Linked DNA regions of Danio rerio. The protein of the gene in region 2 purifies or fractionates together with the protein of the main gene of each other region. This does not show direct contact. Links are inferred from orthologs where the notes say so. Each region holds a gene or a part of one and is shown on either strand. Other genes may lie near its edges.

Region 1 (11,824 bases), on a different chromosome or scaffold from region 2:
GCAACAGATCGACGACAAGATTTTTGTCAAGAAGTGTATGCATATGACATACAGTGTCAATATAATTAAGTTTTAAAAGAAATAAAAATAAGACTTATTATTTTAACTTATTATTAAACATGCCACCCATGGGGCACAAACAGTTCAGGGGTGAATGAGTGTTAAATGAACAAAAACTTTTTTTTTTTTTAAGTTCTTGATTTTTATTATGAAATCAGTGGTAGTGTGTGAAGGCTTAAATCTTCATTTAATAATTTTTGTTATTTATGTCATTTGATGAAACAAATTTGTGTCAAATCACTAAATATTACATTAATATATAATTAACTTATAATCATTTCTGACTTGCTACTCTGTGCAACTTTTTAAAATTGACCCAATGGTTAAAGCAAATGAAAGTTACCTTAATATATTCCAGCTTCAGATATTCTGCCATCTGAAAGGTCTTGCAAACTCTAAAGATGTTTCCGATGATGTCCTCTGGTGAATATCCTAGAGACCAAAGCTGCTCGATAATCTGCAGAAACACACAGAGAGAATCATCTCTCTCATCCGGTGTTTATAATTGTTGAATGATTTCCAAAAGTGAATGTTTAATGGTACCTTGTAGGCTTCATCGATGTTGGCATTAACACAATGTTCTAGCATGCTTTTTACCAGCAGAGGATGTGGCTCGTCACACACCTGCACACACAACAACACCATTACACCTCACTAACACATATTTGTGTGTGTGTTAAGCCTGGCTCACATGGCGCAATTTGTAATAATCTTATTAATAATATGATTGTAGCTTGTCAGACTGTGCGAAAATAATACCCATGTCATCCGGAGTTTGAAGTTGTTCATCTGTGACTCATTTACTATCCCAGCAAACAATCAGTTGTGGTCATTTAGCTCACATCGTTGCTTATTGATAAAACCAGAAACAAAATCTGGACATTTACAAGCATTTGTCGTGCAGATTGCTTAATCATATTCAGCACTTTTATTGGTTTTTGGTTTAATGCTCATTGTAGCTGAAGTCACCCTGCAGGAAAGAGTCTGAAACTTTCTGACACTGCCAGAACTTCATCAGAGGAAAAATTTGAATACTGTGGTCATTAAACGGCTGATGGTGAACACATCAAACCAAAGATCAAGGAGCACAGATTAGGGCTGCAAGAAAAAATCTAATATTGCAATATTTTATTCTTCTTAAAAATAAATATTGCGATAGGAGTACAGTTTCATAAGATGGTTTGAATAGCTTTTTTTTTTTTAAGTTTTTTGGGAAGTCTAAACAGCATTCAGGTACAGAAATTTAATATTTACAATGCAAAAAAAAAAAAAAAACATTTTGTACTAATATTTTTGCTCTGTCTCATTTCAAGTGCAAATATTAAAAAAACACATTTCCCAAATTTGTCTCAGGCGACCAAATCATGGCTAACCAAATCCCACAGTGCAAGCAAGATTTTAGAGAAAAATAATCTAACAGCCCAAAATACCTTGAACACGTTTTCACTGTTGATATATCCAAATCCAGAGTTGGTGGACTGTAGGTTATTCAGAGCCTAGAGGAGAATAACATTAACAATATGAAGCTAAAGAATATTACATTTGTGGTTAAAATTGCATTTTATTTTATTATTTTTTTAATTAACAACAAACGCATTAGTGTTTAGTTGACCTAAATATTGTGAATTTATTTTATGAGTGTTTTCTGTTGACTGGACTGACCTGTCTCATGTCTCCTTGAGCGGTGAAGATGATGGCCTCCAGGCCGTCGTTGGTGACGTGCAGGTTTTCCTTCTCTACCACCTCCGTCAGACGCATCATGATCTGCTCGTCTCGCAGTTTGCTGTATCGCAGCACAGCACAGCGCGACTGGATGGGCTCTGTGACAGAATAACAGGACAAAATGAAAATCTGCTATCTGTATTTTATTCAGGGTTACTGCAAGTTTTTTAAGGGTAAATTTCATATTTCATATATATATATATATATATATATATATTCACTTACATATTCATTGGCTTCAATTTATATTTAAATGTATTCATTTTGAGAATCCTTATTATTTACAACAATATTTTAAGGGTCCAACAGATTGGAACAATTTACCTGGTAACATTCGATCCATTTCATCATTTAGGGTCTTTAAGCAAACCTTGTTTTCATATTTTACTTTGGATTGTACTTGTTTTTCCTGAGGATGTTATTATTTATGTGGTGATTGGATTCACTGATTTGTATATTATTTTTGTAATTTGTATATATACAAATGTATGTATGTATACTACCCCCCCCCCTTTTTTTTTCTTTCTTTCTTTTATCTTGTTTTTTATGTTATGTTTTGTCTTTTGATGTTATTATGTGATTAATTGTGGGACCCCCTTGAAAATAAAATGGCACATCTCAAGGGGTTTATCCCAATGAACACAGTGTAATGTAAATATAAATTTAGAGACCAAGAGAAAAAAAGTCAAGTTTTTATAGGCATATATAATGACATCTCAGATTGTACAAGACACACTTTACAAAAATCTACTTGTTTTTATGAAAGATTTTATAAATAAATTTCCTCTAAAATATTAAAATATGGAAATATCTTAAACTGTACCTTCTAAAGAAACAGTATATACTATCATATAAAGATATTTCGATTTTGAAAAATAAAAACATTAACCCTTTTTTTTGTATATGCTACATTTCATGTTATAATCTGATGAACTTCAGACATTTTAGAAGCCTTGAATTGGTCAATCTAAGAAATTCTTTAAGTATTTTGTGTGCAACAGGGTGTTGTTTACCATCTGGAGTATGGAGAATCAAAGATCATGGACAAAAATGAATTATTGCAGTCCTCTTCTCATGTTTTTAATACAACAAAAATCACATGCTGGGAAGCTGGTCAATATGATTTTTTTTTTGAATCAACGCTTTTGCATCTAGAAAAACTGCCATGTTCTTTTCCACCTTATAATAAACGCCTCAGTGCCCAGACAACAAACGCTGGTATTTATGTTATCTTGCTTTCAGAAGCAGAACAACAATCAAGTTTATGTGTTAGTTTGAGAGGCATTTTAACCAACTTATTATTATGAGACCATTTTAGACATTTCAAAATGTTTAAAACGACGTTTGTGATGGAGTGCAGTGGGACTGGTCCAGTAATTCACACACGTTCATACTTCTAATTTAGCTGTATTGTGTCACGTTTCTCACCTATGATCTTATCTGATGCATTACATGCCAGGGCAAAGCGTGTGGTTTTGGAGTAGATCTCCATTGTTCTTCTGAGAGCTTGCTGAGCTCCATCTGTCATACTGTTAGAAATATAAATACACACTTACATTAAGCACTTGTAATACATGCAATACTGAGATAAACAGTTATAATAGAAATATTGTTAGAAAATAATCTGTCTAACCTGTCAGCCTCATCCAAGATGATGATCTTGTGACGACCTTTAGGAAGTGTGACCTTTTGCTGGGCAAACATCTTAATTTTGTTTCTCACAACGTCAATTCCACTGAAATAATTAATAAAAAAATGTATTAACAGACATTATAACAGCAATGGTAAAGAAGACCCCTTTGAGGAACAGAAATTATATGTGAAATCGATTCACATTTTAGTGTCGTTTACATCAGCTTTTAAAATGTGTTTTTGTCAACTTGTGCTCAATACTAAATAAACTTTTGATTATTTACAGTGGTAGTCGAAAACACATTAGAGCAGATTGCTTTCATAGTGTAAATAGCCACAAAAGACTACCTATTTACCAAATTTGATAATTATAGAACATGTTGAGAGAAAATGGACTAGAATGGGGTAATCATACTTCACTGTTTTGTACCAAACGACTAAAATTATGATCAGAAAAGTTGCCATTCACATTTCATTCATCTTAGAGGAAATCTATAAGCTCACTCATCTGCATTGCAATTAGAATCAGCAGTGCAACACAGTCATTTGTATTGCCTGTAGTAAACAAGCACCAAAACTTGACACAGAACACATAGGCAACAAAGTGCTTTATACAGTTTTTTTTTTTTTGGTGCACAAAAGAGTTTGGGCTTTGTATGAATACAGTTGAACTACTGGCATCACATGAAATGTTTTGGGTTTTATTTCTGGACTATGAACATTTCAAGATTGTTGTGGTCCATGAAGGATGAGGGAGATCTTGCACTTCATCTAGGGCTGCACAATATATTGTGTCGGCATCAATATCGCAATAGTCACATCATGGCTATAGTCTATGTTGAGTCTGGATTATAATTGATCATTTCGCAAGTGTTTTTTAAGCCCTGTGACTGTGTGAGGGTTTAAAATAAGAAACTGTACTGTTTGTAACTTTGACAAATTAACAAAGATTAATTTTATTGATTACTGTTTATAAAAGGAAGAATATTCAGTATCATTCTACATTTGATTACTCAATTACTGCATACCTGAATAGAGTTTGACTCCCCGGTAAACAATACAATGCTGTTTTTTTTTTTTTTCTTTATTGAAGTTATGTATGCTTGTAGAACAGGGGTCTTAAACTCCCGGCCTGCGGGCCATTTGCAGCATTTTTGACGTCCAACGTACTGGACATTAAAAGTACTGCAATATATATTCAGGCTACTTTCGTTTTTTTCTCAGTGTGCAGTTGAGAGTAACGCGCATGCATATTTTTTCTGAGGCTGATTTGGACGTTAAAACATGTCCGCAAGTGCTCTATTTTTACTAAAGCTTTATTTTGTAAATATTCTAGGATCACTTGATTATAATCAGTTTTATACTACCCGTATCGTGTTGTATAAACACCTCTTCATGGCTTACATGTTATGATGGTGGTGTAAATAATATCATTAATAAGATCATCTTGATAATAATAGACTCAAATAGTCTCATTAATTGATTTTCCTCGTATGCATAATGAAATTTGTATACAAAAATGTACATTAGTAAAATCTAACTGTTGGCTGAACTGAACGTGTTAAAAGTAAATGTGAATATAGACAAATTTAGTTTGTCTATAAAGTCAGTAAAGTCAATAAAGTTACGCAAAATGCATTCTGCTGTCTTACGCTCTGTTAAACTTTTGGTTAAGCAACAATTGATTAGGACAAAATATTTATTATTACCATGCCTATTATAAAATTGTAGCATTTTCATTTTCATTTCAATTTAAACTACTGCAATATGTACAACAAGAAACAAAAAGGAGCTTTGATACTCTGGAGAAGAATGCATCAATTACTTCAGGTTTCCGCTTTATTATTTGTGCTTAAATGTTAAACCGGCTCCTCTATGAATTGTGAGTCACTGAACCAAACCTCTAATAATAGGTTCAAACGGAAAATTTGTATGTGCTATTACTTGTGCAATCTCTTTATCTTCGGTGTTTATGTGTGTTTCTCACCGGTCATTTGAGGCATTCAGCTCAAGAACAGCATCTTTCATGGCTGGGCCAAGCAGAGCTCTAGCCAAACACAAAATGCTGGTGGTTTTCCCAGTTCCAGGAGGACCCTGAAAACAAATGCAACTGTTATTTACATGCACAAGGACAAATCATTTGTGCAATCAGACTGCAACCTGACAGCATTGTTTACTTACAGCAATGATGATGTTGGGCACATTTCCTTCTCTTGCAAACACCTGCGACAAAAACGACACAAATGAAGAAACATGTCAGCACCTCCACAAAACTTTCACCACAGTAACTTAAGTTACAGTACTGACCTCCAGTCTGCTAACAGTTTCCTCATTTCCAACTATTTCATTTAACTTCAGAGGTCTGTACTTTTCAACCCTGCAAGTAATATAGCATTTACACCAGAATTAATGTTCGACATGAGCTTAGCAATTCCGCTGCAGCTGCTGTGCTAACTTTAGCCACATGAATCCCGTCCAAATACTACAAAACACACACAAAAGCGTACCATGGTAGTTCATATGCAGTCGTTGTGGGTTTTGGTGCAGTTTCGTCCTTTTTAGGCGGTCCGTCAGCTTGAGTTTGTTCACTGTCTGTCTCTTTCATTTCAACATCCATGTTGCCCGTCAGCAGCGCGTATTCCCGCCACGACAGGAACAAAACAGAACAGAATTGACGCCACTTCCGGCAACGGGCGCGCGACTTTTTCATCACAACTAACGTTACTGTAAACTAGAAAGGAAAATATAGGTAATATTAACTGGAAGAGTATAGTCTTTTTACCTCAGAGATTACTAATGTAAGTACAATAAAATTCATGAAGTGTAGTATAAAATGATACATAGGTGCTATCCTACAAAGCTTTCTTTTTATTTTTACAAAGGTTTATTTCTTAAGATTTTGATGTAAACGGTTCCTTTTGCGGTTACCAAACTGTTCTGTTTCACCTTTTTTGTAATTGTGAATCTACCAAAAGAATTTTGTAAACATGAATTGGGTATTGTGGTATAATCACCGATGTTATTGAAATATGAAACGTTATTTTAGAATATAATCATCAGAATGAACTTCCAGATGTATTTATTTAATCCTATTATATTTTTGGCTAAATATTTTATACACAAATGTAATCGTTGTAAGCGTAAACTGTTTTTATTTTCTTCAGATTTTTCTTGAAGATCTAAATCGTTTTATGTCTTTAATTTCTGAATCGACCATTAAGAAAGCTGTAAAAACTGTAAATGTTTAAAAGATACATTTCTCTCTTGCTCCCTGGCATGTATTGTGATATAATGTAAATGTATATGTTTATATAGCTACTGTATATGGTATAACGGATCTAACAAGGATCGTGTATGAACAAGGATCGTATTTTGCTAGGGAAGAATCAAGAATAATAGCGTGCCTATTTTAAATGTATTTTAAATGATATATATCTTTTATGAATATTTTTGTTACAAATGTTTTTGTTACATTGTTTGTAAACTACAAACACACACATATTGTTTTATACTGTCTATTTTAAGAGAATTACTTTTCTGAATATATTTTAGACCAAACTGTCACATTGCTGCACAAAGCTAAAATAGATTTAACACAATATGAGTAGATATTATAAATACACACACATAATTGTAATGGTTTTACGCTGTAAAAAAAAAAAAAAAAACTGGCTTGCTGAATTAAAGTGAAGTCTGTTGAATCTCCTAACTTTCTGAGCACGTTGTCCAACATGAAGATTTATAATGGATCAGATTATCTCTTTGCATTCAAATCTAGGACAATAATCCCTAAAGAGACTGAAAACATGAAGATAATAGCTTAGATACTAGCAGCTCTGAAAACACAATGTCCGACCCAAAAACAAGTGCTAAAGATACCAATCGCAACAAGATCTGCATAAATAAAGGATGTGGAGTTCAGTACATCCAAAAATTGCACTGCCTGCATGGCTGATGTTTTCTGTGGTGTGCAAGGGATATTTTCATTTATTAAACAATAAGCATCAACAGCATTTACTTAAATATAATGTTATAGTAAGAACCAATCTTTCTACAAGAAATGTTACACAAACGTCTTGAAAAGTATTTTACACAAAATAGCTTTTTTTAAATTTAATTATCATTTTAAGTGCTTTTGAGAAGCATTAGCAACTTTTATTTGGCAAAATTATATTTATTTTAAGTTTTATAAGATTAAGTTTAGTAAATAAAAATGTACACACACAGTCACACACGCTCAAAATCACAAAATGTAAATAGGTTGTAACAAAATAGAAACATTTTCCCAGAGATGGGTTGCGGCTGGAAGGGCATCTGCTGCATAAAAACTTGCTGTATAAGTTCGCGGTTCATTCCACTGTGGCGACCCCGGATTAATAAAGATATTAAGCCGACAAGAAAATGAAAGAATGAATGAATAGAAAAATGTGAAGAGCTCTCAGAGAGAACATTATAAATCCAAAGTGATGAAATGTCAAAAAAAAAGAATAAAATCTGCCAACTTTTCTTTACTTACTTATGATACATTTTTATCATCACATACATGTCACATACATGACAGAACAATGTGAAAAACAACCTCTGTACATGTCTGATGACTGCATCTGACCCAGGTTGATAAATTCTTAACCCAAGAAAGAAATTTGCTATATATAGTTATTGAACACTAAATATAAAATTGTGTAAGTCAAGATATCAGACGTTAGTCATACAAACACACTAAAAACATGTAATAACTCCAAGCTAATTTTTATTTCTAAATTTCTAGATTACCCTGTAAGCAGTAAAACAGCATAAACTTAGCAAAAACAGCAACTTGGCACATAATCAGACTAGAGCCTTTTTGACAGAATAAAGACTGTCTAACCCTTTCATCAAAGTTATATAAGATAGTCGGCCCATCAGATGGTCAAAGCTGTTTGAATTCCCAGCCTTCACAGCATCTGTTGGTAGACCAGAGGTTTCCCATTTCAGTTGGTTTTAGGTATGTGCCAGACTGACATGACCCTGCTGGTTTATTAAACATGATGTGTCCATTACTTATTAGAGTTTTCCTCTGTCACTGTGTATCATAAAGCCTGGAGATCTGCAGACTGGAATAACTAAAAATACAATAATACCATGACATTAATGAGACAACAGAACAGTGTTTAGATTCTGGTCACATTTTACAGTAAGGTTCAATTAGTTCATGTTAGTTAATATATTTTGCTAACATGATCTAAAGATGAAAAATTTAGTACAGTATATTGAATTATCAATATTTACTTATGCATTATTAAAATCCTGTTGTGTTATTTGTACATACTTAGCACTTAACTAATATTTTAGTATAATAAATACATAATTTGCAGTTTTTAACAGTGTGTGGAGTAGCTTATTTAACAGAAAAATGACCTTCAGAAAGCTGCTGGACAACCTGACGTTTCTCACATACGTCATCTATATGTAGATCTTTATCTATATAAGTAAGGCTGAGAGATGTCATTTTATGCACCACACTGAAAACATGAGGGGTCTGATTGCTCTTCTCCTGGTGGCTCTGTGCCTCGAGGGCCTCAATGCAGCATGTCCTGATCATGCCACACTGAAAGACGACCATGGCAGCAAACTCTGTGCCCAGATGTTTGAGCACAGCAGCTACTACTATGACGAGAGCTGCACTGGCAGTTTTCTGAATGTGTATCCTGATGAAGACACCCCCATCATGCCAAAGACCTGGGAGAACCATGTATCCTCTTTGGTGGTGAGACGCGGATGCTCACTGACAGTATGGTCCAAATCCAAGAAGAAGGGAAACAAAAGGAAGTTTCTTGCTGGTGTTGTCTACCACCTGAAAGAAGTGAAGAGAGGCCTGTTCGGAAACTGGAATGACTTGGCACATAATCAGACTAGAGCCTTTTTGACAGAATAAAGACTGTCTAACCCTTTCATCAAAGTTATATAAGATAGTCGGCCCATCAGATGGTCAAAGCTGTTTGAATTCCCAGCCTTCACAGCATCTGTTGGTAGACCAGAGGTTTCCCATTTCAGTTGGTTTTAGGTATGTGCCAGACTGACATGACCCTGCTGGTTTATTAAACATGATGTGTCCATTACTTATTAGAGTTTTCCTCTGTCACTGTGTATCATAAAGCCTGGAGATCTGCAGACTGGAATAACTAAAAATACAATAATACCATGACATTAATGAGACAACAGAACAGTGTTTAGATTCTGGTCACATTTTACAGTAAGGTTCAATTAGTTCATGTTAGTTAATATATTTTGCTAACATGATCTAAAGATGAAAAATTTAGTACAGTATATTGAATTATCAATATTTACTTATGCATTATTAAAATCCTGTTGTGTTTGTTAACATTAGTTAATACAATGTGAGTTAACAGGGAAAAACAATGAACGACTGCATTTTCATAAACTAATGTTAAAAAGATGAATAAATACTGTGATAAATGAATCGTTCAGTGTTTGTTAATGTTAGTTAATGCAGTTATTTATTGTTATTCCTTGTTAGATCACAGTGCATTAGCAAATGGGACCTTATTGTAAATAGAACCCAGATTTTCAGTTTAAATTCTTCTCAAGTATTTACACATTGCTGTTGTCTTGATTGTATTAGTTCTTTTCCAAAATAAAAAATATATAAAATTTCTCCATATAGTGGACTTCTACTGTGCACACTAATAAGTAGGAATGACAGTTAGTGAAACAAGCTAATTTTCTTAAAAGGCTTTTTACCTCTGATGACATGTACGTACAAAGGGAGAATGTCAATCAAAGAGTTTCTGCATAGTTTTTAGGAAATGTGATTATATGATATATATATATATATATATATATATATATATATATATATATATATATATATATATATATATATATATATATATATATATATATATATATTAAAGTGATTATATAATATATAATAATATTGTAAAAGTGATTATACAATACAATTTATATATATTTTTTACTATTAGATCTCCTTCCACATAATTATCAACTACTGCATATCATCCTCAGCTGAAAAAATAATATACAAACACCCAAGCAGCAATGTGACTGATAATGCGTGCATCAGAATTAATAAAAAGCTGCGGGGTCATAAAACTTCCTGCAGGGGTACAAATATGTTGATACCATAAAGCTAAATATTTCAACATCAAACACATTAAATGGCCAACAAAGTTTTTAGCATATTTCATTTATCTCAGATATGAGGATCATTTATCCAAAAATTTTGAATCAGAATTTAAACATTTGCTTTTTTATGTGAATGTTACTTTTAATAAAATATAATATATAATAAAATATTGGATAATAATTTACTCGATTATTGTCATGCTCACCATATATTTTGTGTATGTTGTGCCCCTAGTTTTCCTTTGCTTAATTTCTGAACAAATGTTTTATTAATGTTACTGGAAGTACCTTAATTCATAACTTTATTACAAGTTCCCTGTTGGTATGTGTCTGTTTATTTGTTTCAAACTAAAATAAAAATCCAAAAGTTCTAAGACATGCACTTTTCCCCACTTCTATTTATTGAATGAAAGTCAGTCATATGGCTGGTTTCCATAAGTTGTTACATGAGAGTCTGCCTCTGAAGACATGTGGCCATGCACCTGTGTGTTAGTTTAAAATACCTGCATGTTCAATTATAAGCAGAGCATACAAAAAGATACCGTCTTTTGAATGATGCATACATTTTATTTAGAAGGTACTGGAAAAAACAGTTTGATCGGATATATTTGAAAGAAATTGCCAAAGATATTTTGAATATATAGATAGATATATTATATAAATTTATTTGTACATACTTAGCACTTAACTAATATTTTAGTATAATAAATACATAATTTGCAGTTTTTAACAGTGTGTGGAGTAGCTTATTTAACAGAAAAATGACCTTCAGAAAGCTGCTGGACAACCTGACGTTTCTCACATACGTCATCTATATGTAGATCTTTATCTATATAAGTAAGGCTGAGAGATGTCATTTTATGCACCACACTGAAAACATGAGGGGTCTGATTGCTCTTCTCCTGGTGGCTCTGTGCCTCGAGGGCCTCAACGCAGCATGTCCTGATCATGCCACACTGAAAGACGACCATGGCAGCAAACTCTGTGCCCAGATGTTTGAGCACAGCAGCTACTACTATGACGAGAGCTGCACTGGCAGTTTTCTGAATGTGTATCCTGATGAAGACACCCCCATCATGCCAAAGACCTGGGAGAACCATGTATCCTCTTTGGTGGTGAGACGCGGATGCTCACTGACAGTATGGTCCAAATCCAAGAAGAAGGGAAACAAAAGGAAGTTTCTTGCTGGTGTTGTCTACCACCTGAAAGAAGTGAAGAGAGGCCTGTTCGGAAACTGGAATGACGCCATCTCTGGATTTTA
Region 2 (11,886 bases):
AAGTGCTACTAAATGGCAGTGGAAGTCGAGCCTAGCGAAACCAAGCTGTACTGTATCACTCAGTGGAAAAGTAGCATAATGTGCGTAAAATATTGTACAAATATTGTAGTTGCTTTCCACAGCCGCTTGGCATAGGTTTGCTCTTTCAGTAGTTTGTGCTATAATTAACTCTATGTAAAAGTGGTGTAAAATGTACCAACACTTGTTCAAAATTAGCGAGTAATGCTTTGTGGCTGTTTAGTAGGGTAAATTCACAGCTAGTATTTCTTCCCATACAGATAAACCTCCAGTTAATGGACTTTTCAATTTTGTAGGATTCCTTTTACAACATTTATGTTACAATGTAATTAAAATATAATCAATTAACTAGACTTATGCATTTATTTTTTTCATGTAAAACAAATGAAATGCCATTTACACGCACATGCTGTCAGGATCAGCAGACGACTGCAGAAACTCCATTGAAAATACTGGGGGGAAATCATTTTTTATATTTTAAAGACATGATGTGGTAAAACATCATTTGATGCAGTGCCTCTTGCACGTCCTGAGACCTACTTTTTATCGTATAGCAAATCAGGCAGTGGAGATTGTTGTTTTTTTAAGAAAACAGACTTTGCGCAGATTTTGTCACTGCATACAGTTCACCGAAATCAATTGACCCAGGATGCTGAAAATAAAAAGGCCATTTGCATATACCCTGTCATGCATGTTAGTACTTGTTGTAAATAGAGGCCATCATATTATGCTGTTTCAGACACAAATCTGATCAATTCTGCATTGAAATGTTTGATTTTTGACCTCAGTGGGTTCTAGCTAGTTACACGTCACTGTTGCATATTCACCATGTGTGGTGTGAATAATGTTTTATAACACAGATGAAATGAACAGAAAATGCGTGATGTGTCTTGTGCTTTTGACTATCTTAGAAATAGCCTTTAGTAGGGTTTCCACACTTTGTGCTAGTAAAATACTTTTGAGTTTCACATAAGGTAGCTCCACAGTAATCTCACTGCAGTTGATCTAGCTGCCGTCTGTGAAGTGATTTAATGATGGTGTCTCTGGGGTGTTCAAATGAGTTGACAGGTTGAAATATGACTTAAAGCAGTATCAGATGTGATTTCGAAGAAATAAAAGTCCTAATTTCAGGTTGTTTGGAAGGGAGCATAAGTTTGTTATATCAGCTAATTTTTATTTTTACATTATTTTTTTCATTTCAGCTGCGTGTGGATAAGTGGTGGGGTAACCGAAAGGAGTTGGCCACCGTCCGCACCATCTGCAGTCATGTCCAGAACATGATCAAGGGTGTCACCCTGGTAAGGAGTGTAATGTGTTGGTGCTCTAATTTTTTCCCAATCATATTAAATAAATAAGGACTGCCATAAAATGCATCTTTTGTTTCCCAGGGTTTCAGGTACAAAATGCGATCTGTATATGCCCATTTTCCCATTAATGTGGTCATCCAAGAGTCTGGCTCTCTGGTGGAGATCAGAAACTTCTTGGGAGAGAAGTACATCCGCCGTGTCCGCATGAGGCAAGGTGAGTCTGCATGTTGTCTGAATTAGCCTAATGTTTTAGCATAATTTGTGTAGTCCTGCTCTGTATGAAATTTGACTTCATAAAACCGATGTTTACTTTTTGTTGTGTAGGAGTTGCATGTGCAGTGTCTGCCGCTCAAAAAGACGAGTTGGTTCTGGAGGGTAATGATATTGAGCTGGTGTCAAACTCAGGTGAGCATCTATTTACGATGTGGTCTGTCAATATATGACAAAAACCTGAAATATTCACTGCTTTATGAATTGAAATGGGATGGTGAGAGTAGAATTTCCCTGTTATTCTAGTTCTAAAGGCCTATATAAATTTTTATATATTTTATACATTTATTATGATTTTTTTGACCAGCTTTATCTTTATACGGTCCCAATTCCAAATTCAGTTAGATACTATATTGATTTGTTATACTTAAATGTTACTTAAAATAATAATTTAGCAGACATCTTTGAATATAAATGCTTTCTGGCTGAAACCCTTTCGCTGTTGCTGTGATGAAATGAAAGTGGTTGTGCCAAACAAAGGGTTTCTCCTAGTTATCTTTTTGTTACTGTTTTGTTTAATTCCAATATTAGATCAGATTTTGTGCTTTTTCCTAAATTCCAAAAGTGGCTTATCCAGCATTTTATACATTAAAAAGTAAAGTAAAAACTAGTTTGGATAAACAATCTAAACCATTTTTTTTATTTTAAATGTTTAATAATTACATTTTACATGGCTCTTCTTTTTTACTGGATTGTGCAGATGTGTAACTCTAAACCTAGACTGTTCCCCTTCATACAGTATGAATCCCTTTGTTTTATTTGCTCTTACCTGCAGGTCCTGATGTGGTGTTTAATCTTCTGTGAACGTTTATAGCCTCCTTTTTCCCTCTCCTGACATCCTTAACCCTTGATTACATAACATGAGTGATAGAAAAGACTGTGTTTGTGACTCTTTGTATGCAAGATGTGTGTGAGAGGAAGTGTGGAATTATTGAAGTGTGTGCATGCCTCACCTCCCTAGCATTTCTTGTTTCAGCGGCCCTCATCCAGCAGGCAACCACAGTGAAAAATAAGGATATCAGAAAGTTCCTGGACGGTATTTACGTCTCTGAAAAAGGCACTGTAGTGGAGGCAGAGTCATAGAGAACCGAGAGGTTAGAACGAGACCGCCGTACAGGGTGACAGGAGCCACTGCTGCCCATCGCCTTTCATTCGCCTCTTTCCTGCTTCTCGTCTTTGAAGCTGTCCGTTGTGTTGTCTTCCATGCTCTGTTAAATATGTCCAATCTTTTTTTGATAGTGCCAAATTTCAATTCATGCCATTTTCAGACTGAGTTGTCTGTCTCTTACAAGCCAAGTAGCTTTTTTTACACTAACTTTACAGGATTTTGTGTCCCTCTTTTGCATGTTCACATTCATCCAAGCATGACAACACTTAACAAGGCTTTTGAGTCCACAGCTCTAACCACTGGCTTGGTTTGCATGTTACATGTCTATTTTGTAGCACATGGGAGTTTGTGGGTGCACCGCCTTTCTATTTAAAACAGGTCTGTCTCTAATGAGTTGTCTTTTCTTCTGTCCATCAGCTGCTCTGATCCAGCAGGCCACCACTGTGAGGAAGAAGGACATCCGGAAGTTCCTGGATGGGATTTATGTCAGCGAGAAGGGCACAGTGGTGGAACAGCAAGAGGACTAAATTAGTCTCTGTAAAATCTGTCAATAAAGACCAACTCCATTTTTCAATCATATATGTGTGCAGGAGTTTCATTCATGTTGATACTGTCTAGTTTCATGAAAGTCTTTAGTTAATGAGGGTTAATGTGCATGTAGTAGAATATGAGCTACGTGTATTGGAAAAACTTGATCGCATTCTTTTGTATTCACTGTTTTTTGGTCCAGATGTAAAAGTATGTTTTAGTTTCTTGTATATAAAACAATACACAATCTAATGAATTAACATTTTAGAATGAACGCAGCCTGCCCTCGGCTCAGTAGAATTTACAAAGTAAAGCACAAAAAGAAATGATGAAAGCATGTCGTCATTGAATTGCAAATATCCAAAAAACAAAAATAAGGTTCTGTGTAATCAAAAGAATTCTAAGAGCAGTTTTTAAGGATTTGAAAGCTGTGTGTGGTCTGTCCTGAACATGTAAACGTCCACATGGCAGGTGTTTTGCTTTTTGTGTATTTGGCCCTTTTTCAAATCGTACTAAATGATTCACAGAGCATGAAGATCAGTAGTAGGATTTGCTTTCAAAAAGTTAAAGGTAGTCAGAGGTTAATACTTTTACTTTTTCCTAGAATTGCAATTTATTTACCTCAATTATCTGATTTACATCTTCGCATTTCTGCTTTTAATGCATTGTGTTGCCATCTTAACCAGTGTTGATATATATATAATATCGTGGAGATGATTGCATTCAAATAAATTTTCCATAGTATTAAGTTGCCCAATAATCTTAACAAATAGTTGTATAAAGTCTTACATCTGTGCATGGAACATCCGCATAACCCAAATAAAGGCATCACTGCAGGATATTTAGGAAAGCGCAAAAACTTTTAAAAGTTTTTTTAAAGCGTGTATTTGGTCATCTGCTGCGAAAACATTTGAAGAATTACTACAGGTCCTGAAAAAACAAACATTTATATGATAAAGAATTAATTACATATTGTGATTCAGTTTGTAACATTGATCAATGATTTCTCACAATTCACAGTTGGCGGGGTAGTTTCATTTCACCAACTTTAAAATATTTATTTTAAAATTAAATTTTACTATGTGCAGTTTTAAGAAGGAAGGAAGGAAAGATTAGCATGTTCGCTGTCTCTGCATCTGCTGCGTGCGTTTGTCTCCCTCCCTCTCTCTCTCTCGCTCTCCATCTGCGCGTCATCACACTGCGCCTCCCTGTTGATTATCATTGGCGCCAAAGAGGATTGGAGAAGCAATACCTGCCCGCAGCTTGTTCAAAAATAAAGAAAATATTTAGACATATGATTAGCAATGGTGAGTCGCTTAATTAATGCACTGTCTGTAGAAGTAAAGACACAATCAGAGACGAGGTCGGTGTAGCTGATCAAGCTAAAATAAAAGCAGCTCGAACTTGCAGCCTTTAACGTTACTTGTTAATTAGCAGATTAACTTAGGCTACAAAAATAATAAATCATACATAGGCTATTTATGAATTTTGGAGTCCGTGTTTGCGTCGTTTGTTTTTAAGCCTTGGTTGTTTACGCCATGGTTGAGAAACATAAAAAGTGTGAATAACTTAATGATCAAGATCAACTGTCTTTGTCAACAGCACACAGTCAATATGAGCTTCAGTTTTTCATATATAAGTTAACTACAGGTGTTTGTGCTTTACCACCTGCTTCCTGTTTGTTATTGTCGACTTTGAAATGTAAACAGTCAACAACAAATTCATCCATGCGGTTACTATGCTACTTGCTCTGCTCTGCACGTTTTGTAGCTTATGTAATTTTAAAGTAAAAAATAAAATAAAATAAAGAATAAACTGTGTGTTTATATAGTAAAGCCCGAAATTATTCATACCTCTGGCAAATTCTGACTTAGCAAGTTTTTCAAGGGACCTTAAGACGATGCACATCGAGAGACATCATTCTGTAAACAAATGTTTCTCACCTCTTATTTACATTTGAAGAAAACTGCACTAGTGTATGAATAATTTTGGGCTTGCCTGTGTGTATGGTATGTATGTATATGTATGTTTGTTTGTTTGTTTGTTTGTGTGTACACATGTTCGCAAGTCTCTTATTCAGCAATGCTCATTTCAGGACATCCGGAGGTTTTTTACGTCCACCAAGCCTGTGGCCCAGAAAGCTTCAAATGGAAGCACAAGCACAAGTACTGATGAAGAGCAGAAGAAGAAACAAAAATCAAGACCTAAGGTAAAATGACATGTGAACAACATTCATTTGCATGCTGATGTTGTGTGCATCGTGCCGTGTCATAGAGTCTCTCTTTCTTTCTTTCTTTAGGTCAAAAGCTCCACATCTGATGAGAAACCCAGCGGGAAAAGAAAGAAAAGAGTTATAGTTGATTCAGGTTCATATTCAGAGTTGATTAAACATTGATAATCAGGCTTGTTAAGATATGGATTCTGTTGTGTACATACAATAAATTAGTTCAGACAGAAGAAGAGTAGAATAGAATAAAATGGGGCTTTTAAAATAGGGTCCATCAAGAGACCATAAAGATGCTCTGTAAAAATGTTTTGATAAAGTAAAGATAAATAATATTTAAAAAGTTAAACCTGAAATTTTTATTTAGATTAGAGTTCCATTTAAAACAACTTTTTATAAGGTTTTAATGATTGAAGAATATGACTTAAAGGGCCACGAAACCCCCCTCTTTCGGTTTGAGTCTACCTCAGAATAAATAAAAAATGCTTCATAATGGGTGTGGAGCGCCGTGAGAAGAGGGAGGAGTGGGCGTGGCCGTCAGAGCAGGGGGAGAAAGAGGGAAGCGAACAACTTTTGTCAGTTGGCTCACAAAATGATACACAAACTGTGAGGAGACGCGTGATTTTATAGGTTGCAAAGTTAAAATGCAAAGTAATAAGCAGTAATTTAATGCCGTGCTACATTTGTTATTCGTAATTTCATATACACATAACCACAATTTGTTATATCATTATAAAGATAATAATTGTTTATATAAACACTATAATTGAGGAGGACTTCTCTCCTGAATCCCCGGGTCTGAATGCAGACATGGAGCAGTGCAGCAGGTCTCTTGCCCTATCTTTTTCAACCATTAACCCTGCCGATAATCTGGAGAATTTTAAAAATAAGCGAACACAGCAGCATGGTTATAGGGGATGTATCTGAATGGTAATGAACTCAACTGATAAAAGACAAAGTCTACCATTCTCCAATTTTTGTACAGCTCTCCCAACTAAAATTCTTGCTGCAAACCAACAGCTTTGCTGTATTGGCCCTAACAGCATTGCAGTGAAAAACAAGCAACAACAACAAGCAACAAACCAATAAACCTGCTTTCCGTACGCGGACTTGATCTCACCCACTCATTGGATCTCACAGTTTGGCAGGTCTATCTAGCCTTCGGAAAACATGTGCTCTCATGAATAATTAATAAGCAGGGTCTTTTCACAGGATCAGAAAGCTCTGCTATGAATAATAATAATAATGAAAAACTGACGCATCATCACTCCACTAGCATATTCGCGCTACATCACCGATTTTGATCCCGCCCAAAAAGTAATTTTAAACCCGGAAGATGAAATTAGTTGACAAAAGCTCAAAATTATCCAGGTTTTTCCACAATTAAAGTTGACAAGTGCTAACATTGTCTTAACTGATGTTCAAAACACACAAATCTGTTAAAATTTCCAAAAAGTTCGCAAGTATCTTGAACCTTTATGGTCCTGTGCATTAAGTCATCCTATTTGGCATCTAAAAATAAAAACCTGCCTGAGACATTCAGATGTTCTCCTCTCTCATCTTATATTAGACTCTGAAGAAGAGAAGAAGGTGAAGACCAAAAAGAGCACTAAAGAGACTTCTACTATCCCCACAGAGAAGAAACACCCAGTAACTTATGTGTCTGATTCTGGTGAGGAAGTCATCAAATAAATTTCATCCTGCAATATCAGTTGGTTTTCAGCATTATATTATACCTCCGCATAATAATTTTCCCTCTCTCTGTATATTTGTTCAGATTCGGATGGAACATTTGAGACTCTGAAAAAGCCCAAACCTAAAGAGAATGGAACGGCTAAAGGCAAGAAGGAATCAGATTCAGGAAAAGCAAAACAAGTGAAAGTCTCCTCCAGCAAATCCCCAGTCAAATCCCCCAGCACGGTGAAGGGAGGGGTGAAGAGTTCTCAACCCACCATTTCCCCTAAGGTGGCACCAACCCCACCAAAACAGATGCCCACATCAGTAATGGCTTTTTTTGGGAGTTCAAGTGTTCAGAGGTCGGAGAAGAAAATGGTGGCCAGTAGCAGCACTAAGAGGAAGGCAGTGAGTACAGAGAATGAAAATTGTTTGTGTTTGCTTGCTTAAAATTGGGGCTGGGACAACAAATCAATGCATTGCAAATCGAGAAATGATTCTGCATCAATTCTTTGTCTTTCTGATTGCGTTTTGATTCTCTCTTAAATCAATTCTGAGCTTAGTATTTACTGCCAGATTAGTGCTTTTTTTAACAAACAGTCATACTTTACCAGTCCTTAGGGCTGGTACACACTGGTACATTCACATGTATGTGACGGGTAGTAAGCGGAAGGGCTAAGGTGCAGAATTAAAACTGGCCCTAAGTTTATGGAGAGTGTGGATACGAAGGCCTGACATCAGTAGCAAACAGCCAACCAGCAGGATTTGAAACACATTGTCTTTGGTGGGTGTGTCAAAAATGTCAGCATAGCAGCAACATGTATGTAAACAATGTGCACAGCTCACAAATGAGTTCAAGTAAAGTTGCAGTAAAGTCACTGCAGCTATGTACACAAAACAATTGGAGGTATTTTAGTTTTTTAGTAGGAGTTCTATAGTAGCAATATAGCATATCAACACGGTGTAGCTTTTTTTATTTTATATAGTAAGTTTATATACCAAATTTCATAAACTAATTATTTTGGTATGTAAATATTTTTGGTATTTGGCTATGTAATTTTTACTGATGGGGCAACAAAGGCATAGTTTGATGACTGCGACTGAGTGTGGAATGACAGGAGTCTTCATTACATCCTATGGGACTGCTGATTTAGACTCTGATATAGAAAACCCACCAGTGTGAAAGCACCAACAAATACGTAAATGTCACGTTTGCTTTGAAAATACCTCATTTTTGATACTGTGATTCACTTTTGCAGTCAATGTGATTCACTCACATATTAAAAGATTCAAAATCCTGAATTTAAAGAGATTCAACTCTTTATCTACCGATTCTAAAGCTTATCTATATTACATTTTATGCATATACACTTACCAGCCACGTTTTTAGATACACCTTACTAGTACCGGGTTGGACCCCTTTTACCTTCAGAACTGCTTTTGTCTTTCAAGGCATAGATTCAATAAGGTACTGGAAATATTCCTCTGAGATTTTGCTCCATATTGACATGGTAGCATCACATAGTTGCTGCAGATTTGCCAGCTGCTCATTCATGATGCGAATCTCCCGTTCCACCACATCTCAAAGGTGCTCTATTGGATTGAGATCTGATCACTGTGGAGCCATTTAAGTACAGTTAACTTATTGTTATATTTAAGAAACCAGTCTGAGATTCGTGCTTAATGACATGGTGCATTATTCTGCTGGAAGTAGCCATCAGAAGATGGGTACACTGTGGTCATAAAGGCATGGACATGGTCAGCAACAATACTCAGGTAGGCTGTGGTGTTGACACGATGCTCTATTAGTACCAATGGGCCCAAAGTGTGCCAAGAAAATAACCCCCCACATTGATACATGGCAGGATGGATCCATGGTTTCATGTTGTTGACACCAAATTCTGACCCTACCATCTGAATGTCACAGCAGAAATCGAGACTCATCAGACCAGGCAACGTTTCTCCAATCTTCTTCTTAATTTGGGGTGCCTGTGCTAATTGTAGCCTCAGTTTCCTGTTCTTAGCTGACAGGAGTGGCAACCAGTGTGGTCTTCTGCAGCTGTTGCCCATTCCCCTCAAGGTTCGATGTGTTTGCATTCAGAGATGCTCTTCTGCATACCTCGATTTTAACAGCAATGATTATTTGGCCATTCTCTGGTCATTCTCCTCCAACCTGGCACCAACAACCATTCAAAGTTCAAAGTCACTTAAATCACCTTTCTTCCCTATTCTGATGGTTGTTTGCAGCAGATCGTCTTGACCATGTCTACATGTATAAATCAAGTGTGCCGCAAGCCTACGTTTGAGTGAAGGTTTCGGCCGTTAGATCGCCCCCTGGGGGCTGGCTGCAGTACAAGTCATAAAGCCCGCCTCCTCCGTGTTAATGAAGGAGACTTGAGCCCAAATAAAAAAAAATATTACACTTGCAATAAAATGTCCCGAAAGATAGTTCTGGTCGATTAAGGCACTGGTTATTGTGCTGAAATAGGTGCAGATCTTCATTTTTGTAAACAGTTTGTTTTTAGCAGTAATTTAATGCTGGGCGTGTCATCGTGATTGACAGCTGTGATTGACAGTTTCTCAAAGCGCGGCGTCTGAGCTTCGGCAGGAGACTGAAGTAGACTGAAATGTTATTATTCGATTTCTGTGTTATTTTACCATGACAACATGAGTTCAGCAGTAAACTATAGTTTCTGACATACATGATCCTGGTGGAACACTGTTTATTCGCTAAGTTCAGGGCTTTTTTCGGGCTTTATTAGTTTGCTGATACACGCCTAGCCACCCAGATAGCAAAACACAGTTCCGGCTAGATTCTCGCCTGCCGGAGACTTATCTCTTAGAGCTCAGACTGACTAACGTTACCTCTGCTGGACCTACTCCGGATGCCTGGACTCACTACCCAATTCCAGCCGAGTCAATCGAGCCAGATGCGGCGGCCGAGCGAGCAGGCGCTGCCGCATGCGAGCCGGAATCAGCCCGCGACGCCGCGAGTAAGTTATGCGCTGCGGCCCGGAGCTGGCGCGATTGAATATATAAAACCCTCATATTTGTTAACGTTATTACATCCATTTGTGTTGATATGACAGCAAACGCATGCTGAGAAGTTCGGGGGGCGTAGTTGATTTTACATAAAGCGTTTGATTGGAAGCTCGACTCTGCTCATTTTCGCGGCTCCTCCTCTGGCTCCATCAGACAGTCCTTCTGCGCATGTCTGGCTCCAATTTCAGCAGTGTTTTGCGACAGTTTGTACCCGTCAAGCAGGCGTTTTGCCCTCAAGGCGTTCAATGGGAAAAAGGGCTGTCGCGTCGTCCATATTTTTTACAGTCATTGGTATAAATGCATTGAGTTGCTGCCATGTGATTGCCTGATTAGAAATTTGCATTAATGAGTAGTTGACAGGTGTACCTAATAAAGTAGTCGGTAAATGTATATTTATGCTGTTTTGAACTAAAACCTTAACCTATATTGGATTAGGGATATAATAATTAGACATATGTAAAATAATTATAATAAATATTTTTTTCTTTGCTAAATGCCACATGTTTATTTTTTTAAATGGTTCACCGTCAGAGCAACATTTAATTTGGAGCAAGAGAAACTAGGACAGTCTCTTTATTGTGTAAGAGATGTGTCAGCTTGCACACACTTAATTTGTTATATCTATATTTAAGTTCTCCAAACCAAAGCTTAACCTGCCCTGGGGCAGGCTAGCCATGGAGCGCAAGTTGTTATAGCTTTGACCACTGCTGAAAGACAAATAAATTTCATGGTCACTTTAGTCCAGACTAAACTGAAACTTACCTGGCTAACCAGCTTCATGGTAAAGGCCCTGGAGCTGTTTGGTTTGTGTTGTTGACTGTACAAAAATACTGCAAAAGCAGACACACTTTTCATATACTTCCAAATAGTGAAGATTGTATAGGTAGAAGAATAAAGAGGAATTACACACTTATACATTCTCATCTGCAATATGTGTCAAACTAAAGCACCACTGCTCAATGTATGATTGCAATGATGGTTGATCAGCTACTTCTAATGGAATCATTGTTGGACTTTGGTTTCAATGAATGCAGTTCATGCATCACTGTTATTACTGTTTGAATTATGTGTGTAAAAGTGATGTAGAAGAAACTTCTAGAACTGAAATTCCCATGTGGGGATATAAGAAGTTTGTTTAAAATGTCAGGTTCACTTTTGGCAGAAAAAAAGTTCTAACTTTGTTTGATCTTGTCCAGCCACTGGAAACTGATGAGTCACTCAGTGATGAAGCCATTGCAAAAGAACTTCAGATGGATGAAGACAAGGAGGTTGGTTCAGGACCATCTGCACTTTAATTATTGCACAATATTGATCATATAATAATCAAAAATTGATTAGGTAAAATTGTACAGTTTTTTCGTTAATAAAAACACAAGCATCTGCAAAAGAAATTTCAATGAGTGTTTGACCAGTTATCTAGGAATATTCCTATGTCATGTCATGCTACACAGCATGTTGTATATGTTTTTCTTAGCTTTTGGTTTTCATGCAGAAATCATAATGTGAAACCTTGTATGTTTTTGTCTGTGTGTCTGTGTGTGTGTGTGTGTGTGTGTTTATATTAGTTGGAAAAGCAGATTCATGATGATGAGGAATTTGCTAGGACATTAGCCATGCTGGATGATGCTCCCTTACCAAAAAAGGTTGGTGAGCAGCATATCTGTCTAGAGTTATTATGCATAATAATATGCATAATTTTTGCTATGTAACCCTTT

What was found.
Region 1: the proteins of rfc1 (region 2) and rfc2 fractionate together in Homo sapiens (co-fractionation; 5 studies listed by BioGRID and IntAct, with this or other methods). This does not show direct contact. The link is inferred for Danio rerio from reciprocal best matches to the Homo sapiens genes RFC1 and RFC2.

Annotation. Positions count from the first base shown.
Region 1 is NC_133196.1:26,654,781-26,666,604, forward strand, and holds the start of rfc2 (replication factor C subunit 2), read right to left. Parts: upstream 6,095-11,824; 5' UTR 6,032-6,094; coding exon 5,922-6,031; intron 5,792-5,921; coding exon 5,722-5,791; intron 5,638-5,721; coding exon 5,596-5,637; intron 5,509-5,595; coding exon 5,402-5,508; intron 3,518-5,401; coding exon 3,416-3,517; intron 3,312-3,415; coding exon 3,211-3,311; intron 1,881-3,210; coding exon 1,723-1,880; intron 1,557-1,722; coding exon 1,491-1,556; intron 685-1,490; coding exon 604-684; intron 518-603; coding exon 404-517; intron 1-403. Other genes in the region: syncollin, read left to right, coding at 8,924-9,328; syncollin-like, read left to right, coding at 11,424-11,824.
Region 2 is NC_133176.1:24,836,148-24,848,033, reverse strand, and holds the start of rfc1 (replication factor C subunit 1), read left to right. Parts: upstream 1-4,441; 5' UTR 4,442-4,535; coding exon of another isoform or gene 4,536-4,538; 5' UTR 4,539-5,237; coding exon 5,238-5,240; intron 5,241-5,326; coding exon 5,327-5,440; intron 5,441-5,530; coding exon 5,531-5,597; intron 5,598-7,025; coding exon 7,026-7,127; intron 7,128-7,232; coding exon 7,233-7,537; intron 7,538-11,367; coding exon 11,368-11,439; intron 11,440-11,736; coding exon 11,737-11,814; intron 11,815-11,886. Other genes in the region: rpl9 (large ribosomal subunit protein uL6), read left to right, coding at 1,221-1,316, 1,407-1,539, 1,650-1,730, 3,121-3,230. UniProt on the Homo sapiens protein: Subunit of the replication factor C (RFC) complex which acts during elongation of primed DNA templates by DNA polymerases delta and epsilon, and is necessary for ATP-dependent loading of proliferating cell nuclear antigen (PCNA) onto primed DNA.